2 linked regions of the Mus musculus genome follow. The protein of the gene in region 2 interacts with the protein of the main gene of each other region in a biochemical or structural test. Links are inferred from orthologs where the notes say so. Each region holds a gene or a part of one and is shown on either strand. Other genes may lie near its edges.

Region 1 (3,517 bases), about 27 Mb from region 2:
TAATTTTGAGAAAGTGCTGGCTAAAGAGTTACCAGAATGGAAGGACTTGCCTACGTGCCGACTTTCAGTTGGAAGTATGCAACTTTACACAGCTCTCTACTTTTTTCCCATTCAAATTACATTTTTGATTTTTTTTTTATGTTTTTGGAATTTAAATGAGACATTGAACTCTGAAAATAAAAGGCTATTTCATTTTCATTTACTTATTTGTTTGTTTGAAAGCAGGGTTTCTCTGTATAGCCTTGGCTGTCCTGAAACTCACTCTGCAGACCAGGCTGGCTTCAAACTCAGATATCTGCCTACTTTTGCCTCCCTAGTGCTGGGTTTAAAGGTGTGTGCCACCATAGCCTGACTATTTAAAAAAAGAAAAAATTTAAAAAGAAAAACTAAAGAGAAGTAAATTTCACCACAGAGGTCTGGGAGATCGTTCTGTCCCAGTCCCCAGTGTGTCTGGCCTTGGCGGAAGAGTTGATAATCATTTCCCTCTGTTGACCTTGGTGGTGTTCCCTGTTGAAAGCACAACATGAGTGTGTGGTTGCTGTGAGCATCTTCAGGACCCAGAACAGTGCCTGACTCTAACAGCCACTTGGGAGTTAGCGGAAAGAATTAATGTGCTTTTACACGTTTCTCCCCATTGGGTTAGACTGGGGATTCAGTTCTACGGCAGAAAACAAATTCCCCGTGTCCTCAGGGAGTGTTAGTTGTTCAGACTGAAGAGAAAAGAGCCTTGACATTTTTCTTTTAGGGTGCCCACAATGTTTATATACTATTCACTTTTATTTCCACAGCACAACCAGTGCCCCAGAAGATGAAATCTCAAATAGATATCCCCGAACAGACAGAAGTGGTTTCAGTAGACACAACAGAGATGCAAATGCGCCGGCTAGTTTCTCCTCAAGTAGCACCTTGGAAAAGAGAATTGAAGATCTTGAAAAGGTATGAATTATGAATTACTCTAAATAAAATTAACATACTTTAGCATTCTTCTCCCAGTTCCATGGCTTCATGCCCAGAAAGGGAGGTGGGACACCCAGGCAGGAGACATCCGGTTCTACTCCAGGAGCAGCTTGGACTCCTTATCTTGTGCGTTCGCACCTAGACCCTGGTGTTTGGCTTCCCCCCACTTCCTTAAGTGCTTTTCTGTCCACTTGAATGCCTTGATTCAGTAGCCATTCCTGTTCTGTCATATCTTACTCGTATTCTGAGGAGCACTGAGGGTTTTTGAGTGCTTAAATGCTTGCATTGTCAGCCTGTACCCCGCACTACATCGGCTGAACATACTGTTGGTTCAGACCTTACAGCTATTCTGAGTTAGGCCCATGTTTGGTGCTTGAACCATTTTCAAGTAGAAACAGGATACACTTGCTTACAGATGTTTCGACAGCAACTCACCTGAACATTGCAGTAAAATTACAGAGCTGAGGTGTGTCCCGTGGACACGCACCTGAAACTGGTTTGGAATAAGTTCTCTTTTAATGATTGGAAGTTATTCCCTGTGACACAAAGATTATTGTGAGATTTATCTGTTTTGACTTGCTGCTTACGCAGCGGTGATATTTAGGTTACATTTAAGCTTTAACCCCTATTTCTGATCAGAATCATTATTTAAACTTAAAGGGTTAGAGAATACACTTTACTAGTTTTCAAAAGGTTCCTCTGAAAAACTCATGACACTCCAGAAATGCTGACAGGCAGCTTTTGATGGCTTTGGGTAGCCTGCTGCTTTCTCTGAGGGCTAGAAAAGAAGCGAGTCCTGCCAGAGACCTTTCCAGCCCTCCCAGGAGGCCTGGAGGCTTTGTCTGTTCTAGGTTTATTGAGACAGTACTGCGTCTCATACAGTCCAGTTAACCAAAGATGATCTTGGATCTATCTGACCTGCCAGCCTCCACCTCCCAAGAGCTAGGATCATAGGTGTGTAAAACAATGAGCTAGAAGCCCTGAATTCAAAGACTTCTAAATAACGATTTTTTTAAAAAATTAAAAAGCATTTATTAGCTTACAAACCATCATATTTCATTATGGAATTTTGCAATCAAAATTTGGTTTAGTTTGGTTTGTTTGTTTGTTTTCTTTTCTCACTTTTCATCCCCATTCGCCTTTCCTCCCTTGGACCCTCCTGTCCCCAGTAGTTTGTCTGCTTTCTTATCACATGACATCGTCCCCCACTTTTATAATGTCTCCTGCTCTCCAGTGGTCTGATACATAGTTTCATAACCTAGGCCAAATCTCAACCCGTTTCCATCCATTTAAAGTTGGGGTCTGTGAATGAGAGAGAATATATGACTTCTGTCTTTATGAGACTACATTCCCTCAGACAGGACAGTATTTTCCAGGTCTGTCTGTCTGTCCTTTGAGTAAGCTACTTTGCAGGGCCTTATTGTTGTTTTTTGGGTTTTTTTGTTTGTTTGTTTGTTTTTTTTCTTTTGTAGATTTTTCGTGGTTCATGGTTTTAGAATTACAGCTGGTATCAGCCAGCCCCGTGGTTTCTTGTCCTTGATGAAGCCAGGGCGTGAGGGAAGACATGCTTCCCTCCTGGCTGTTAGGGAGCAAAGAGATGCAAACCTGAGTTTCTGAACTTCCTTCTCTTTTTGTTCCATATAAATACGCCCAGGGGTGTGCTTTCTTAATCTCCTAGGTGGATCACTTTATTAGACTATATTAATTATATGTACTAGCAGGCCTCAGGACACTTCATGTGTGTGTATACTGTGTTGTGCTCATGTACCTTGTCATCTTCCCCAACTAGCCCCACTTCTGGGGTGTCTGAGTGAGTCTCACTGGGGTTGTTCACAGGCTCACGGGCGTCTTATCCATGACTACAGCAGCAGAGGAGATGCCTCTTCACCCGCTCCACCGTTGACTGAATTGTCATGTCGACAGGACCTTGTTATGGGGCTTCTGTTAGCTTTGAACTCATAAGTTCAGGGGATCCTCTTACCTCAGACTCCCAACTTTGGCACTAAGTATGGTCCACTACGTAGCATCTCTTTTAAAGGAAAACCACAATAGCAGAAAGTCCCATTTTTTTCCTTTTCAATTCACAGAAAGCTTGCAATTTTGCTATTTAAAAAACTGTGCTCTTCTCTTCTTTCTTTACAAAGTTGGTCTGTCGGTCTGTCTGTCTGTCTGTCTTTGTGTCATCATCACCGTCATATCTTCAGTGTCAGGTATGGCTGGAAGGGGCTTTGCTAATGTCTGGAGTCGTGCTCTGTTACTGACAGGTGTTTGCCATTTTAGAAAACTGCAATCAGCCAGTTCCCTTGTTAATGCTTTGCGATTTATTCCCTAGGAAGTTGTAAGAGAAAGGCAAGAAAACCTTCGACTTGTGAGGCTGATGCAAGATAAAGAAGAAATGATTGGGAAACTCAAGGAAGAGATCGATTTGTTAAATAGAGTAAGTGGTTCTGGATTCCAGTTCCTGGGTTTCTCTTTTTGGTCATTGGATGAAAGCATGCAAGGGTGAAGAACTTGTTCATCGCCTGTTTGGTTAATAAGATGGTCATTTATGGTGAGCTCT
Region 2 (3,966 bases):
CACCCCCCCAGGGAAGTCACCTGAGTCTCCTGTCTTCTGTCTAGGCTTCACCGCTGATCTGCGATCCAACACCGGCGGCCAGGCCTTCCCCCAGTGCGTGTTTGACCACTGGCAGATCCTGCCTGGGGATCCTTTTGACAACAGCAGCCGCCCCAGCCAAGTGGTAGCTGAGACGCGCAAGCGCAAGGGCCTGAAAGAGGGCATCCCAGCGCTGGACAACTTCCTGGACAAACTGTAGGCAGCCTGATACTGCCACATGCTGCACAGTGCCCACCCATCAGAAGACACCTTGAGACTGTCCCACAGTGCTCCTCTAGAGGCTGCTGGGGCCACCCTGACATCACTCAGCACTCACTTGCTACCAATTCTATTTATTTCGGAATTACAAGATAGCGGGAATCTCTCTGCAGGCTGGACTGGCAGGCTGTGGGGTGGGCGGGACACGGCTCTTAACATTTTCAGAGGGAAACGCGCAGATGTCCAAAAGTCTAAATAAATGCATTCAGAGGTTTTTGGGGTCCATGGCCAAGTGGAGTTCCCCCAGAGGGGGAGGTGGGGTAAGTGCCTCCAGGAAGGCAGGCAGCCTGCCTTAGACTTGCAGCCCGGCTGTGGGAATGAATCATTGGAGTAATAAACTACAGTGGTTGATCCACATGTGCTCGCAACTCTGTTTTGTACAGCGCACGCTTTCCTGGTTTTCAGGGTATCTGGCTACCCTTAGGTGGCCTGCGGTGATTCACACATAACACACACACTGCACCCCGTGCGACAGAATGGGTTTTATTGTGAGTTCACAGTACTGCCTCAGTCCATTCCACAAACTTGAATCACTCCATAGACCTGCACATCAGGGGTTTGGTCTGCGCATACCCGGCTCCAGGTTATTGGCTTTCAGCCTCTCGCGTTAGCCAATCATCAGCCAGGAGCCCAATAATGATGTGCTCCACAAGGGCGGTGTCGAGCCTTCCTGTGAATCTGTCAGGCTGGCCAATGAGCACTGGACTCTCGCCTAGCCTTGGGTGATGACGTCACTAGTCAACGTCCGCTTCCGCTGAGAGGTCAGATGCTAACCAATGAGCGTGTGCATTCAATTTCCGGTTAAAGTCGTAGTCCAATGAGCGCTGGTTTTCGGGTTTTGCGGAGGTGTGCCCCTGCGCTGTCAGCGCATGCGTAGATGCCGTCTCAGGATTTGTACCGGAGGTTCTCGCGGGGGCCTCGCTGGCACCGGGCGGGGACTCGATGGCTGAGGACGGTACGAATGGGCCGGGTCCGGGACGTTGTGTTGGGACCCAAGGGACACGCGACGAGGGCGGGAGCGAGGGGAGGGAACCCGCGAGGGGCATGGCTTTCTCCAATCTCGAGGGGTGGACCTCTAGGAATAGCAACACTGCTGCGCATGTGTCAGGTTTCCGGCGACACCCCTGAGTTCCGGGGTGCTGGTGGGCATGATTGACAGGTGAGGAAGCTAGGTAGGAATTTCAAGAGCCGGACGCTATGGAAGTGTTTCGAGTAGAGAACCCCACGCTGACTTGGAACTCTGTTTAATCCTCCAGCCTCAGCCTCTTGAGTGCTAGGGTAAAGGGCACCTGACACTGTATTGTGTTTTATAGTTTTGTACATATATATATATATATATATATATATATATATATATATACTGCTTGAGAGATGTTGTTCCGCTTCTTTTAGTTATATCTATGCTTGTTTCTGAGAGGGGTGTCACAGTGCCCGCAGGTACCTGAGGTTCCTGAAGAGAGCGTTAGAGGTCATCAGGCCTGGGAGTTAGAGATACTAGTGAGCACTGGAAACTGAACTTGGAGACTGTGCAAGTACAGCACCCACTCTTACCGTCTCAGCCATCTCTCCAGTCACTTGAGCTGGTCTCATGGAACTCAGGCTGGCTTGTAACTCACCAAGTATTTGAGTATGCTCTTGAACTCGTAGCCGTGCAGCCCTCCGCTCCCCAGTGTGGGGTGTCAGGTTTGCTCTACCATGACCAAATTGTGGGTAGAGGCTGTAGATGACCAAAGAAAATCTGGGGCAGGGGCATTGTGTGTCACATATGCTGGGGAAGCCTCTTGGGAGAAGTCGGATCCGTGATAAACATTTCCTGTTTCCTCTGTCCCTCCAGCTCCTGTGTCCCCAGAATCCTTCAGAAGGCCAGCCGCCATGTCCACATTCAGGCAAGAGGATGTTGAGGACCATTATGAGATGGGAGAGGAGCTTGGCAGGTGAGTGGCGTGGGAGGTGGGTGCCCTTCCTCTCCTCAGTGTCTTGAAGCAGTGGCCACAGAGTTTTCTGGTGGTACCACGCCAGACTTCAGGTTCCCAGATGACAGGGAACCTGAGTTCCTTTTCTCTCGTGTCCTCTGTGGAGAGAGACACAGAGACCTGTAGCTGCTGCCCCTGAGCCGGGGACAGTGCCTCGGAGCATTGTCTGCTATGGGATTGTTCTCAGCTCGGTTTCTTCTTTTCCCCCATGAGACAGAGTCTTACTATGTACTCCTGGCTGGTCTGGAACTTGCTCATCACAGAGATCCTCCTGCCTCTGCTTCCCAAGTGCTGGAGCTAAAGGATTGCACCACCACCCTGGCCTTGGCTGATTTTGATTTTGGTTTTTTAAAGGCAGGCTCTCATGTCCCCCAGATTGGCCTTGAACTTCTTTTATGTAATTACTATATTTTGTGTGCATATGTGTCTTAGTCACAGCACAGCTTCCTGGAGTCTGTGCTCTCCTCTCCCATGCGAGCCAGTTCCAGGGACTGAGCTCAGGGAGTCCTTGGCAGCCCTGGGTGATGTCCCACCACACTGCACAGGCTGTTTTACGACTTGCTGGGTCTGCCTTTCTTGAGTTCTGTACATGGATGCTTTTATACTGGTGTCTCCCCAGTGCCGGGATGGTTCAGGACACCGTTTTCTGTTTGGTGTTTCTTGAGAAAGCCAGATTCTCTTTCTAGGCTAGCTCTCATGCCTGTCCGTGCTTTGGAGCCCCCTCCCTCTTCCCCCTCCCACCTCCTCATGCCAGGCCCTTCCTCTTTCTAAGGGGCTTCAGACCTTATTTGGTGAGTTCTGGGCCAGCCTTCTGGGGGCATCAAGGCCCGCCCTATGATGTCATCCCCATGGAATGTAAATAACCTTCCCAGTACTAGGCAGGCTGAGGAGGAGTTTTCCTGCCTAGGGACCCTGAACCACTTCCTTCTGGAGTTCCCCACCCCAGCCCCCACCCCTGAGAACCTCCCGGCTGCCATCCCAGTAGGGCTTCAGCGATGTTCCTGTCATGTGCTGGTCACATCTATGAGCCTACTGCTAGGGAAGTAGGGACATCTCGTGCCAGGGATGTGAGACTCAGACTGAAACATAAGATGGGACACTGGAGAGGCGGCTCAGTGATTACAGCACCAGCTGCTCTTGCAGAAGTCCTAGGTTCGATTCCCAGCAACCACATGGAGGCTCACAACCACCTGTGACTCCAGCTCCAGGAGTCTGACACTCCCACTGGTCTCTGTGAGCAAAACTTGTAAAAACACAGAAAGAAACACAGAGGCCTTCTCACATACCACACACCAACTCACCCTGACAGGTAAGTATGGACAATTTAGCCCTTACGTAGTCAACACTCTGAGGGTGGGTCCAGGATCCTGAGCTCCTCACAGGCATTGATGCTCATCTAGCAAATGAGGATGTATTTGTGCATAACCCATGCATGGCACCCTGTGTAATTTACATAAAGTGTTTATGGTGTTGGGGTAGGTGGACCCAGGCCCCAGGCCTGCCACTCTGTACACTTGCTGCCTGGATCTCTGTTTTTATTTTTTTAATTTCTATTTTGACTTATTATGAATACAGTGTTCTGCTGCATGGATGCTTGCGTGCCAGAAGAGGGCTCCAGCTCTCAATACAGATGGCTGTGAACCAACAAGGGCAGTCAGTGCTTGTAACCACTCAGCCACCTCTCCCGCCTCTGCCT

Evidence for each region.
Region 1: of the proteins of Dapk3 (region 2) and Pawr, one has a biochemical effect on the other in vitro, tested with the Homo sapiens proteins (2 studies listed by BioGRID). The link is inferred for Mus musculus from reciprocal best matches to the Homo sapiens genes DAPK3 and PAWR.

Annotation. Positions count from the first base shown.
Region 1 is NC_000076.6:108,408,675-108,412,191, forward strand, and holds part of Pawr (PRKC apoptosis WT1 regulator protein), read left to right. Parts: intron 1-788; coding exon 789-936; intron 937-3,289; coding exon 3,290-3,394; intron 3,395-3,517. UniProt on the Homo sapiens protein: Pro-apoptotic protein capable of selectively inducing apoptosis in cancer cells, sensitizing the cells to diverse apoptotic stimuli and causing regression of tumors in animal models.
Region 2 is NC_000076.6:81,181,845-81,185,810, forward strand, and holds the start of Dapk3 (death-associated protein kinase 3), read left to right. Parts: upstream 1-1,162; 5' UTR 1,163-1,239; coding exon 1,240-1,252; exon of another isoform or gene 1,253-1,575; intron 1,576-2,073; exon of another isoform or gene 2,074-2,131; coding exon 2,132-2,231; intron 2,232-3,966. Other genes in the region: Eef2 (elongation factor 2), read left to right, coding at 45-238. UniProt on the Homo sapiens protein: Serine/threonine kinase which is involved in the regulation of apoptosis, autophagy, transcription, translation and actin cytoskeleton reorganization. Involved in the regulation of smooth muscle contraction.